Arabidopsis thaliana: one gene and its partner. The protein of the gene in region 2 interacts with the protein of the main gene of each other region in a pairwise test. Each region holds a gene or a part of one and is shown on either strand. Other genes may lie near its edges.

Region 1 (6,447 bases), on a different chromosome or scaffold from region 2:
CAATTCATTTAAGTTTAACACTTTTTAGCAAAAAATTATGAGAAAAATTTATGACTCTATCTTTCAGTAAGTATGTTATGATCGATTAATTTGAGTTAAACGAAGTAGTGTATCATATATAGTATATCACTATCAGATTTATAGAGGCCTAATCGTACATTATTCAGTTGGTTATAGCTAGCGATATCTCTTGATTGGAGAATAGGAATGGAACTTTGACCGATATTGAATACCTAGTCTTCAAGGATTCTACAATATAATTATGATGATTTGGTAAATTTAATTGGGTTATGATAATGAAGGCACTCATATTAAATAATCAGGTCACTAACCTCTTTAGACTTATTGTGGCCAACAATAGGAAAGTAGTCTCCTTTCAACTTTTTCTCCAATCCCACCATTTCCATGAACAATTTTTTTAATTAAAAGCATTAAGAGATATTTGCATTAATTAAATGATGGATAAATCAATTGTTGTTATGGTATTTTACTATTTTTATTTATTTGTAATTGATACAATCTAATTTTGAAACTCAAGCTAATCTCTATTTAAACCGGTTTTTATTGTTGCTTTTTATTTAAAGCATTCACGTTGGCTAAACAAATTAGTTAACTTTTAATCGTGTTATTTCTTTAGAGATTATATATAGTGATATACCAAACGCATTGGCTTCTCTTTTTTTTGATAAGGTACGTGTATCTAAATACACAAGATACAGCTTAAGGCACATCAAAAATTGAAAGGAGAAAGAAGATGGGTTTGTTGCCATTGGTGAAGAAACTAGGTTTCATCATCTTTCTTCTAGTTTCAGCTTCAGCGTTTGCTCTCTGTTCTGCAGGTTTGTTTCTTACTTTTTTTTCTCTCTCTCTATCTACATATTTATATTCCTTTGTTTGCAGCTTTTCTCTGCAACTTCATGTGCCTCCTACTGAGATCAGTCTTTTAGAAAGTAAGATAATAACATTAAGAGCTTGTGCTCTCCACATGTGTGTTAATGACGACTAAAGGAGAAAATTAACGACATAGTATGTTACGTTAGTGTTATTTGGATTGATTAATCTTGGATATAAAGAATAGACAAGCTTAAGTCTCTTTTTTTTTTCTTTTTTGTAGGCCGATCATCCATTTTAATCTATAGCCAAGAAGATGATCATCCCGAGGTATTCGTTTTAACTCCAAAAAAAGTTGCCAACTACCGTGCGTTGTATATCTTTACTTAGTAAAAAACCGAACAAATTGATAATCAAGATCGTAGTTATATGATTTCAAGAACAATTTTGTACGTTGGTGAATACATTCTATTTGTGGACAGGTAGTAGAAAGAAGAATACATGAGCATGAGAGAATTCTGAGAATGAATTCAAGAGACTATGGCCACTCCAGTCCTAAACCAAAGCTCGTGAGACCTCCTTTCAAGCTTATTCCCAACTGATCATGCATATCACCGATCGACTATATATAGATGCCAGACTTTCTGAGATGTATAATATATGTAAACCTAAATACTAACACTGCAATAAGTTTGAATGATAATCATATATATAAGTTTCAAGATATGTTTTCTAGTAAATTAATGATTAGATAGTGCTCTTTGCTATCATGCAGAATGTAAATTTGGTGAATAGTCATCATTAGATGAATATTACAATTTATCTGATAGAATCCTTATGATCAAAATTAATATTGAAATATTCGATTAATTCTGAAAACGGATACAGATTGTATATGTGCCAGACAAAAAAAAAGAGAAGAGAATTGGGAACGTTGCAGTTTCGTAGATGTGATAAGATAATAAGTCTACAGTGTAATGTCCATCTCTTGCAGATCTCAAATTGCATTTACCATATTCTGTTTGGTCCCAATGACCTAACCTCACTTATATTCTTGTACAAAAGAATGTTTACTTTATACAAATATTTCTAAAACTTTTTCTTCTGACCAACATTCTTCCACTACAGAATTGAGACTGATCATAAGTTCATCACACCTATGCTTTATTCCTCTCCATTGCTTACTTCTTCAAGCTACAAAATCATGTACCAATTGTGAAGAATTTATCCGGTTCTGGCGACTTCCGGGGTTTACATACTCCATTTCATCTCCCGGGATGGCATTCTCGTAAATATCCACCCCGGAAAAGTTGTTGTATGCCTCACTAGACATAGCCACAACATTGTCCTGTCCTTGAGAGTTTTGAAGCCCTAGAGTCAAGGACACATCACCACGACCCAATCTTGACGTATCAGCCACATGATATGTAGGCTCAACTGCCATGAACCGGCGACCATCCATATGACTGCCTTGGACCATGCCACGAGTTTCCTCGCCATATCCATGTCCATGGTCCGGTTTGGTCTGGTCTTGTGAAAACTCTCGAGCTCGATCTTCATCATCAGCAGCAACAGGTCCTATCTCAGACATTTTCGGTGTATTTTCGGAAGACGAGTTGGAATCATTCTCTGTGAATTCCTCCTTGTATATCTCCTCCACCATTGGCTTCCATAAACGCACTCGTGCATTTATGAACCAGTTTGAAACCTTTTACAAACATAAAACACACAACAATCAATAAATAAACTATACTATGAAGAGAAAGAAACAATCTTCAAATAAAACATTCCTTACCTGACCGCGGCTCAAGCCCGTTTGTCTTGCTAGCATGATCTTATCAGAATCCTTTGGGTAACTATTCATGTTTTCAAACAGTAATCATCACTATTTATGAAGAAAATGTGTGGAGATAAGATTCAAGGGAGACTTACGGGTGAAGAAAATGCTCAAAGAGCCAAGCACGGAGAATCAAAACAGAGTTTTCAGGTAGACCGCGTTGAGGTCTCCAAGCTTGAGGTTGCATAAAACCTCTTTGTTGTCTTAAATGTTGATCAACGTACTTAAGCCGGCTTATAATCCCAACTCTTTTCCCATCTGATCCATCTTGTTGTTCCCCAAGGCATTTACGTAGCACGAGGATTTGTCCGGATATCGCATCCCTTAGGCTACGAAAATGGCGAGAAATTGTTTGAAGGGCGAGTGCTGTGTATGGCTTAGCTGCTCCATAACCAGCTATCACATCGAACGAGGATACAACTATCTGCATCTGCTGGTAATATTGCTTATATCTTCTATCCACCTTTACCAAAATCAAGAAATATCTCATTTTCTTAAATATTCAACATATCCTATATATACCAAATGTAACAACATTATGGCTGCAATTTATTTAAATGTATGCTTTTTTGCATTTAAAATATTATAACAAAAGGCCTATAAAAGGTAACCATCACATGATCAAATTAAGAAGATTAGGTCTCAAGTTATTACCTCATCCAACATTGACAAGAGTTTTGTCAACTTGCTCTGCATTTCTTGTCTCTCCGACTGAGAGATGTCCGCAGGAGGATTCGTGCTCGAGTCTTGAGTGCTCTGATTCGGTTCTTGAGGGTTCTCATTGTTTTTATCTCCCTCTGCCTGAAACTGCTTTAGAGCTTTCTTTACATTAACAGCCTCATCTAGAAGCTGTTGAGCCGCCTTAAGATACTTTGAGTTGGGAATTGTTCTCACAACATCCAAGTTCTGATTCCCGCCCGGAAAACTCTGTGTTGCATACTCATTGCCTCTCGGCGCCATATTTTGATGGCTTATCTGATGAATTCCTGGAAGAATCTGTGAACCAAGGCTAAGGGACAGTCCCTGACCGGTCTGAAGAATCCCCGTGGCACCTGCCATCGCGCTCATTAGCTGGAAACCGTTCCTGTCACTCGCTTGATCTCTCCAAGAACCGAAATCTTGACCAATGTTCTGCATTTGTGGAACTCCCCCAAATCTGGACAATGCTTGCCTCTCTTGTGAGGCTGAGACATTGTTAGCTTCAGTTCTTCTTTCTCTACCGGCTGATTCCTCAGAGTAAGAAACTATAGCATTCTGGATCATTGAATCTCCGGGAATAAACTGTGTTTCTGGATAATTCTCCATCGAAATGGAGTGTTCTTTTTGGCTCACTTGAGTTCCATAGTCCCTTGTTTTCTGATCAGGTCGTAAGAACTTAACCTTATGGAGGAAATGCTTGACATTAAAGACAGATTCAAAAACAATTGAAACAGAGCAGGATCCATATAATCAGTGTATTGCTAAGAAACATGTAAGATTTCAACATGTCTTGAATATATGGTTATGCATGCAATTATGGAGATGCAAGCCAAATCCATAGACAACAAAAAAAAAAGAAGAATTGTATAGAAATAAAAAGATTAGTAAATTACCTGGAAACCAAACTGCTACTTCTGATGGATTGTTGAAGGAGACAACAAAATCTTGAAAAGAATTAAAAATTAGAAAATGTGAAAGATTTTATTGATATCTTAAAAGAAAGAAATCAGAAGGTTACGCCTCTTTCTCTTGGTTGTGTTTTTTTTTTGGTATGAGATATAATTTGAATTCATCATCTCATCAATGTCACACGTGAAAGACCCATATCATACTCTCCCTCCTCCGGAAGAAAGAAAGAATGGAAAAAAAAAACTTTGAATTTCTTATTTAATAGTATATAATATGGTAATAAGAAAATCAAATAAAAACTTTATTTTGTTTTCTGAAGATATTGCTTCAGAAAGCCATAATCTGGTTGGTGCTTGAACCTCCTGCTTCTTGCTTATTGATTCCTGGAGTCAAGTCTTTGGTAAAGAGAAGAAAATTATTGTGAAAATGTTATATAAATGTATGGTTAAGGAGTTTCTATCTTTAACAACCAGTTGGTCGACCTAAACCCCTCTCTCTTCATCTTTCTCCCAATCCTAAACCTAATCTTAATCCCAATCCTTATCACTCTCTGTCTCTTAATTACACATTGATTAAATCAATATCCTCCATATAATCACATTTCTATTTTCTTTACTTAAGTTGAAAAGTACAAAGAATCAAAGATGCTACTAGCTTCTTGACATAAAGTCATCTTAAATTTAAATTTAAATTCGGAAGTGTTGAGTTATATAGTTTATTTTGCAAGTAAACAATAAAAATTTAGCAGATTAGTAGATCGTGGTGAATTTTGATTAAGTATATATATCACAACTTGTTTTTCTGATGAATAGGTCATTAACTTATCATTATAAACACATAACTAATGTTTATTATGTGAGTTTTGATTAAGAGTATTAGCTACTTTACTTTTTAAGTAAGCCAAGCCATGATTGTTTCTTCTTCCTTTTCTTTATATATTTCTTTCATACTTTTTTGGTATCTGATTATACATTCGTGGACTCTGGTCGTCCAGAGGCTATGCAACTATTAAAGAAATAAGGGTCCCAAAAAATAACAAACACAACTTTTTCTTCTTTTTTATTTTCATTTTGTAAACACCATAAGTGCTCGTTTTCCCCACTGAGTTTTGTCTTTTCCTGGAAACAACTTGTAGATATTTATGGATTAGTACTTTTTCTTTCAAATGCTTCTAAACTTAGCATTCACTTTCTTGTTTGACAGAAGTCTATATCCTAAGTCCTAAGTCCTAACTTGGTAACTACTATAATCTTTAAGACTAGGGTCCAATACTGATTAGAGGCTGAGAGAATCGTTAGTTCCATGGGCGAGACTTGAGAGCAACAACACAAAGATAATGAGAATGACTTAGATAGTGATAGGAAGTTGATCAGGGTGGATTTTTGAAGAAATATAAAGTATTAGGTGTAGAATGAAAATAGAGGTATAGCTGTCTGAATAGGGACAGATGTTGCAGCGAGAGGGTCAGAGCCAGAGATGCCGTAATAATACGAACAATGAACATCTCTGAAGGAAGAGAGAGAGAGAGAGAGAAAGAGAGAATCTAATGGGATACGAAGCGAGAGATTTTGTTGGCCCAATAGAGCTGTAATGTCCCAAAGACACATCCTTTTTTCCATAACTATAACATTTTTATTAGAAGACCAATTTAGTTTGAAATAGATTATTGTCTAGTTACTAGTCTCTTGCATGTGTTTTTAACACATATAGACGATACAAATACATTTTGGCAGATATTGAAACCAAAAAGACGGAACAAAATTTTGAAGAGAAGCAATATAAGAGTTTCAGACCTATATGAGAATAAGAACTAATTTCAAGATCAACGAGATTATATAACTACTACCATGTAGAAGTAAAGATATACATAAAAGGTAAGAACGAGGTTCTAATGTCCAAGATCATATTCAGGCAGATAACTTTTTTTTTTTTTTTTTTTGAGCAAATATGGGCCTAATTCCTTTTTTTAGCATACAATCCAGATATTGAGAATGAATCTTATTTTTGAAAATATGGGCCTCTTACCAAAGCCTATTTAGTCTAAAGTGAGAATTGTTAAATGTAAAAAGGCATGCTCATATTAAAGAATAAAAATTCACCAAACTCTGTTGCAGAAAAGTCTTAACCAACATAACATTAAACTGCTTTCACATAGAAAGCAAAAGTCTTAA
Region 2 (8,503 bases):
TATTACATTAGGTTTGACTTGTAATCATCATTTATCACAACGATCAAACTATTATTACAATCACAATAGTAGACAAAATTTAGGATATATATATATATATATAATTATGTATAAACTATGAACATTTAAAGTGAGATTTTTCAAAATAATATATAAATTCAAATAGAAATAGACTATTTGGTTCTTAAATGAGAGACCCCCGAAAAAATCTTTTTTTTTTTCTCATCAAGCTGTTTACATTTTTAGATATAAAATCATATTCTTTATAGTTTAGAATATGAATTAAATAGTTTTATATGTTATTAACTTATCATAAGATATGCGTGAGGTTGGCCAAAAACTCATCAATTAACCAAATAAGAAAAGTAAAATTGTATTTTGCTTTGCTAAAAATGTAAATATTTCATTGAAAAATGAAAAAGGTTTAGGTAATACAATTAAGTAAATCCTACAATTTTGGTTCCATGGCAAAAGAATAAAATTGTATTGCTTTGGTAAAAGTTGATCCAACTAATATATTCAGTAGAAACTGCAAAACTGAAGAAATAAGTTTGTTTAGTAGAATTGCTTTCGGTTATGTAATGAATATACATCCAAAATGGCTTTTTAGTAATGATGTCTTTTCATACTCTTTCCAATCCCTACTACTTTCAGATTATTTGTCCTACTATTATAGAGATATACGTTCGTTTTCAATAATATGAAAAGTGATATATATTTAAATAGTGTGATATATATATAAGTTTTGCAAGTGCATCACTTCCCAAAATCGCATAAATCATTAATCATATTGTCGAAAACAGTATAATAACTTCTTAAACGAAAACGCAGCGCAATTAAAAATAACAACTAGAGATAATTGACAAAACATTGATTAATATTTACCTATAAGTTAATTATTGTATTTAAAATTTATTTAAAGTTCATAAGGAAAACATATGCAAAAATATTTATATCTAATATTTTGCTATGTTATCCTTTTTTTTTTTTACGTTATCCTAATTTTGTTTATCCTAATTTGTTGTGGTTAAAATCTTATTATTGATAAAAAGAGAACTTTTTTTTTTGTCATCATAAAAAAGAGAACTTATTACTTCGATTTTAAAATTCTATGAGCGTAGGAGACAAAGAAAAAAAAAATAAAAAAAAAAAGAAGAGAAAAATCACTTCTTTTCTTCTTTTTAGTCCAGATCCAACATATTTTGGATAACTAAATGAAGATTTTTTAAAAAAATATATTTTAGGGTATATATAAATCATAATTTGAAGCAAATGAAATAAAATCCAGTTTGGTAATATATAAATATGATTTGATGGGTTCCTTGTAATCTCTCTCTATCTATTAGTTTCTCAGTTATCTTTTCTTTGCCAGAAATGGCAGTGAAGGCAGTGGCTGAGGAGAGAGTTTTTTTTCTTCTTTCATGGGGAAAGTAAAACTTTGCCTTGAAGATTTCTCTCTTCAATATTTTTCTAAGACTTTTGATTTCAACGAATCACTGTCCTTAACCTAAAAGCAAGAAAAATTAGCTTTATACTGGTCTTTACTTTTTTTTAACATATTTATTTTTATATAGTTTACTTATAAACATAGACATACGAGTATGGGAATATATAGTATATCCAACTTCTAAATAATATTTCGAATAGTGATAACAAAATTAGCAATACATACGGCTAGTGAAATGTTGATCGAATAAACGGCACTGATGTAATGTACTTATCAATTTTGATAATTTTAATTGTATTGTTTTTCTTTTTTTCCCACAGTATTGAACTAGACAATTAAATTTAAAGTAAAATTATACATTTCTTTCGTTGTGTATTAAAGTAACATGCATAATATCATTTTCCTTCGTACAATCCTCCAAATTGACAATTGATGAATTACTTTGTCAATCGTAAATGAATTTTTCTCAAGTCTGTATACTATTTTCAGGGATAAACAGGTACAGGTGTCCCATGCTTATTCTCTTGATAGTAACATGTGTCCTATGTTGAGTCAATTCTACGTTCGAAGAAGTGCTAACAATTGTTAATAGCCTCGTATATTATTCTAATTAAAATGCCTCGATAGATTTGGTTAGTGGTCTGAATGTGATTGGTTATTTTTTCAAGTGGCAAGAGGTCTACCATCTAATATTACAATCAATCGACCAAAAAGGTCGAGAACATGATAATGGTGGCAAATACAAATGGTTCATTGTTGTCTAATATAACAAGCCATCAGTTGTCACTTTTTAAAAACAATACAGAATACAAGATACTTTTTTTTTAAGGTAAAATGTGTGTTTAATATTTTCGTTTATATAACAAATAAACAGTTACATGTTTTACTCTATGATTATATTTATGACATTTTTCTTCTTCTTAACAACATTTTTTTCCCATAAGAACATTTACAATAGTATTAAAACTTTGATTGCAATCAAATGTTAGATCACTTATTATAAAATTACTAAGACTGCTATCTTTTCCTATTGACAAAAGCGAATCCAATATATGTTACTGAAACAAATGCGTAAATTATACTATATGGAGATCTATCGGTTAATTATTGAGAGAATCTAAGAAAGTTTTTGAGTACAACAGTCCTAATAATATCTTCACATACCATATAATATACATATATACATATACACAAATGTACTTTTTAAACCAACATCAGCATACGTATATCCCATCAGGAAACTTAGACTTTTGGGAATTCATGGTATGAAAACCAAAACCAAATGACAACATTCGATTTGATACTCCCGACCCATGGTAAAGAAATAACAAATTCCAATATATCTTTCACTGGACTTTCCGAGGCACATTCCGGTTTTCTCCATTTCAAGAAATTGTCAAAAATAAATTGAGATCCGGTTTATTACCTCAAAAAAGAAGAAGAGAAATTACAACATTAATTTCCGAAAAGGCATAAATGAGAAATCATATTTCAGCAGAAGAACACAAAAGAGTTAAGAACCCACAGATCACACAACCTCTGTCCATGTCTGCTTTTTACACTTTTTTAAAATAAGTTTCTCCTAAAAAGTTATTTCCTATTTATAATAATTTCCTTAGATTTATCTTCCTGGTCTCTCTTCTGCTGCTTCCCTCTCCCCCATAACTATCACTATTTAGAATTTTCAATGTGGAAAAGGAAGCTGATTGTTGAAGCATAAATCCCGGGAGACCACTTTTGCATTTTCAAATAATTAAATTAAACCATAGATACACACACACAGTTACTTACTCTTTTAGGGTTTCCCAATAAATTTATAGTACTTTAATGTGTTTCATGATATTGATGATAAATGCTAGCTGTATTTACAATGGGGGCTCCTCTTTTTTTTTCTTTATGTTATTTTCATTTTTTATTTCTCATAGCTATATAGCAAAGCCAAAGTGAATAATAATACTAGTGAGAGAAAGAGAAGATGGAGAGTGGTTCCAACAGCACTTCTTGTCCAATGGCTTTTGCCGGGGATAATAGTGATGGTCCGATGTGTCCTATGATGATGATGATGCCGCCCATCATGACATCACATCAACATCATGGTCATGATCATCAACATCAACAACAAGAACATGATGGTTATGCATATCAGTCACACCACCAACAAAGTAGTTCCCTTTTTCTTCAATCACTAGCTCCTCCCCAAGGAACTAAGAACAAAGTTGCTTCTTCTTCTTCTCCTTCCTCTTGTGCTCCTGCCTATTCTCTAATGGAGATCCATCATAACGAAATCGTTGCAGGAGGAATCAACCCTTGCTCCTCTTCCTCTTCTTCAGCCTCTGTCAAGGCCAAGATCATGGCTCATCCTCACTACCACCGCCTCTTGGCCGCTTATGTCAATTGTCAGAAGGTGATGAGAGAAAGAAACTTGAAAAAATTACTTTGAAAGTTTCTTCGTAACTCTAATGATTCTTATTTGATTTTCTTGCACAAAAAAGAAGAGAAAGATTCTAGAAACCCTAATTACCAAACTTTACCTTTTATTTCCTTTTTACATAACCCTTTACTTGATGTCTGAGTTTGATTTTGATATCTACTTTTGTTTACTAGTTACTTAACCCAGCTAAGTATATACAAATCAAAGGATACAATTTTTCCTATATTGAGAAAGTTTCAAGAAACAATTTGTAAAAACCCTACTTGCAAGAGATTATCCAAAATATTGTATGTAGGCTTGAAGATTAGGACATATATAATTATTTCATTTTTTTCTTTACTATATTATATATCCACAATAAACGTGAGGATCCTTATCTTAGTTCAATTAACGTTTTTATGTCTATCATTTACTAATTACACAATTTCTTAAGGTTGGAGCACCACCGGAGGTTGTGGCGAGGCTAGAGGAGGCATGCTCGTCTGCCGCAGCCGCTGCCGCATCTATGGGACCAACAGGATGTCTAGGTGAAGATCCAGGGCTTGATCAATTCATGGAAGCTTACTGTGAAATGCTCGTTAAGTATGAGCAAGAGCTCTCCAAACCTTTCAAGGAAGCTATGGTCTTCCTTCAACGTGTCGAGTGTCAATTCAAATCCCTCTCTCTATCCTCACCTTCCTCTTTCTCCGGTTACTCTCTCCTCTCTCTCTAGTTCTCTGTTTTTTTTTCTTTCTTTTTAATTCATATTCTTGTTAATTATGGCGTCAAATTAAACGTAAGATGAGGAAAGTTGTTTTTTTTCTTTGTGGGTTTTAAGAAAGATTTTCCTTTTTCTGATTTTTCTTGGGTAAATACCCCTTTGATGGTTGTTACTAGGGTTAGTGTCAGATTGTTATATATAGCTTACTAGGTTTACGTGTATAATCTATCTATACATAAGTTAGTGTATGTAGTTGTTTTCATTGAATTAAAACAGTTTGTTTACTGTTTTTTTGTTTTGTTTGGAATTGAATTCATTTGCTTTGGTACAACAACAATCACTGTTCTTGTCTCTTTCTTCTCCGTTTGTTTTGGATCTATTTAATTCAAATGCATCAAAAAGAATATCTGGATCTAGAGTCTGCTCGTCCTTAGATCTATTGCTCAATTTAGACATACACATGTTTTTGTACGTATAATCACATATACATATATCTACACAATGTCATATCACTCTTCTTTTCAAGAATGTAGTTAAGTTTATATAGACACACAAACTCACATCTACTTAACATGTTACTTTGAATTATTTGGATCACTAGCCTATTCTTTTTCATTTCCCTAGACACATGTTCTTGTTGACAAATTTGTCTTGCTTTCACATGTTTAATCAATATAAGGTTATGGAGAGACAGCAATTGATAGGAACAATAATGGGTCATCCGAGGAAGAAGTCGATATGAACAATGAATTTGTAGATCCACAAGCTGAGGATAGAGAGCTTAAAGGACAGCTCTTGCGCAAGTACAGTGGTTACTTAGGGAGCCTCAAGCAAGAGTTCATGAAGAAGAGGAAGAAAGGAAAGCTCCCTAAAGAAGCTCGTCAACAACTGCTTGATTGGTGGAGCCGTCACTACAAATGGCCTTACCCTTCGGTAACTCTCTTCCCTTATACTCTAATTAAATAATCATTTCATGTTTTTAAAAAAGCATTTATATGATAGCAAATTCAATTTAGTTGTCTATTAGCTTGTTTCAATGTTTTTAGTGATTTTTGCATTCATACTATATCGTTAGGGACATTAGTTTATGTTAGCTCATGTTGGCATTGCACAATATGCATTTGCATAATTTGAAATCCTAAAAGCTGAATGAAGTGAACTTATTTAGTCTATGTGTACTGTTTTGGTCTATTAGCCGATGACAAACTTGATTCTTGCTTCCATACCTTTTTTAGGGTCCGAATAATATGTCAATCTTAGTCAAGACTACGATCAATTTCATCTTATGGCTGTGTACCATAACTTAGACTAAACTTTGTTGCACATATTTCAAGTCATAACTTTGGAAAGTAGGGTGCATGAGGCCATACCCTAATGCAATAGTAGCTCATGTCTTTATTACACTTGTATAGTGTCATTACCCATGTTCGTATGAGTAGATGGATTCTAAGTTCTCCTTACAATCTAGCAAATCGTGATGTAGCTGTGATCATGGACTGACCTTATATCGGAGAGAACACTTGATGATTGATTTTTTCTCGCATGTGATATGAAATTGCAGGAGCAACAAAAGCTCGCCCTTGCGGAATCAACGGGGCTGGACCAGAAACAGATAAACAATTGGTTCATAAACCAGAGGAAACGGCATTGGAAGCCGTCGGAGGACATGCAGTTTGTAGTAATGGACGCAACACATCCTCACCATTACTTCATGGATAATGTCTTGGGCAATCCTTTCCCAATGGATCACATCTCCTCCACCATGCTTTGATCGATCCTTTAAAACGTTTATTTCATTATATTTATAATCGTTAAACAGCTTATAATATGTATAATCTATGGTTCTCGGTATACTTGGAACATATGAAACATGTTCCGATTGATGAACAAGCGTTTGATGTTGTGGTGTGTATCCTTTTGTGTTGTTCTATTGTTATGCGAAATTCCTATTCCTATTATAATGATAGTAAAGCTTTTTTGATCTATTCTTTTTATTTGACAACCTTTTTGACAATTTGGACCATTTTTTGGTTGTATGTATATCTTCCTTGCTAATTTTTAAGTATTTGCGTCGAAATTTTGTACTTTTGGGATGGAAAAGACGAAAAGAAAAGAGAGAATGCTATTACTCCAAAAGACCTAGTCTGGCCCAAACAGACCCATCACTATCCCAAAAAGACAAGATCGACCAAAACTTAATCCACTTCTAATAGTTTTGTCCCTTAAAACGCTTTCTGCTGTATGTATCTTCACAAACATATGACTTATCTTGAACCGATTCAATACAGCAGCATTTAGCATTGCTGAGAGTGATCTTTACACATATATACGCTTATAAGCTTCTCAAATTCTTCTTCATATGCTCCTCATCATCTTCAGTTTTCAATAGCCATAATTTGTTCCTACCAAAGACGAATAGTTCCAGTTTCTGCATAGCCACAATCTTCCATTTGTTTTCCCACTTGATCTAACCTGAAACTGGGACATGGTTCCTGAAGTTAGTGGATGTGCAGAACAAGAGAAACTATGGATCGAAGATACATCGGGTCAGCCTCGAGGATAATATCATCACTGACATTTTGAGCACTAACTAAACAGTCCAAACCAAGCATTGATTCAAGACATACCTCTCTATTCAAGATCGCTATCTGTTCTTGCTTCTTCATCACTATCTTCACATATATCCTCAGGAGGATCGTATACAATCATTCCAGGGAAAAGCTCCAAGAAATCATCTTTAACTTTCTCTCTCAACTCAGGATAAGGAACGAGTCCTTTCAAAATAACTCGAAAAGGCAGAGATAAAGGCCGGTCAGGAGACTCTCTCATCTCTCCATACAATCTCATTGCTTCTAAAGGAAGTTCATTATCCAAGAACCCTCGAACAAGGTCTCCAAATGTATGTTGATCAAACAAAACCTCTTCTTTCTTTAAATCTTCCCATACTTTCTTGGTTTCATCAACTTTCTTGTTTCTTGCAAGCATCATTAGCATGTCTCTGTAAAAAAACATGTCCGGTCTGTACCATATTTCTCTCCTCACTACTTCATAGAGCTGAAACATAATAAGAAGACAAACACTAAACCAAATTAAACATCAACGACAAGTGACAATACATAAACATCAACAAGCTCCATATAAACCAAACCGAAATAGTTTAACCAAACCAGTTAGGCTAATTCGATTCTGATTCAGTTTATTAGGTATCAAGCGGCAAGAGGAAGTATGAAATTCAGTAACTGGTTTGGTTCGGCATTGCCAAACCGAAATTACCAAAATTTTATCCTAAATATAACCGAATTCACAGAAATATACCAAAATTTAACCGAAGCATAAACATTAACAGTAACACCATCAACAAACTCCATAACCAAACTTAGAACTAGGCTTATAAAATCAAACCGAAATAGCTGAACCAAACCAGTTAGGCTAATTCGGTTCGGATTCGGTTTATTAGGTGAAGCCAAGCGGCAAGAGGAAGCATGAAAACCGGTTCAGGACTGGTAAACCCAAATTTTATCCTTACTTTAACCAGAATCACCGAAATGTACCAAATCTTAACCAAAATGATGAGAAATGTCAAATTATCAATAACGAACCAAACCACATTTGGTTTTCGGTTCCATTTCAGCACCAATTTCCAAATCGAAACACCCAAATTTACGAACCGGAGGAGACCAATTAACCTAAACGCCCAGAACTATCAAAAACTCAGTTCGAAACTTAACCAAATTCAACGATTATACCTTCATACAGAGGAACACTTGGTTTTGTCTCTGAAATTCAGCAAGAACGGAAACGAGATCGGATTTAAGGAGACGAGAGACATGAGAACCAATGAATCGATCAAGTCGGACTGATTGGGTTTGGAGACGCTTGAGCTCTTTGGCTGCGATTAAACCTTCTTTGCTCATTTCTTTCTTCC

Evidence for each region.
Region 1: the proteins of STM (region 2) and BLH6 interact in binary tests that used the Arabidopsis thaliana proteins (3 or more experiments, as listed by UniProt).

The regions. Positions count from the first base shown.
Region 1 is NC_003075.7:16,528,526-16,534,972, forward strand, and holds BLH6 (BEL1-like homeodomain 6), read right to left. Parts: upstream 4,838-6,447; 5' UTR 4,261-4,837; exon of another isoform or gene 4,049-4,260; 5' UTR 3,974-4,048; coding exon 3,323-3,973; intron 3,132-3,322; coding exon 2,764-3,131; intron 2,688-2,763; coding exon 2,627-2,687; intron 2,540-2,626; coding exon 2,021-2,539; 3' UTR 1,821-2,020; downstream 1-1,820. Other genes in the region: AT4G34600 (uncharacterized protein), read left to right, coding at 755-839, 1,115-1,161, 1,314-1,433.
Region 2 is NC_003070.9:23,056,642-23,065,144, reverse strand, and holds STM (KNOX/ELK homeobox transcription factor), read left to right. Parts: upstream 1-3,081; 5' UTR 3,082-3,422; coding exon 3,423-3,851; intron 3,852-4,311; coding exon 4,312-4,567; intron 4,568-5,257; coding exon 5,258-5,511; intron 5,512-6,139; coding exon 6,140-6,349; 3' UTR 6,350-6,563; downstream 6,564-8,503. Other genes in the region: AT1G62350 (Pentatricopeptide repeat (PPR) superfamily protein), read right to left, coding at 7,210-7,632, 8,325-8,503. UniProt on the Arabidopsis thaliana protein: Required for shoot apical meristem (SAM) formation during embryogenesis. Negatively regulates ASYMMETRIC LEAVES1 (AS1) and ASYMMETRIC LEAVES2 (AS2 or LBD6). Probably binds to the DNA sequence 5'-TGAC-3'. Binds to RNA.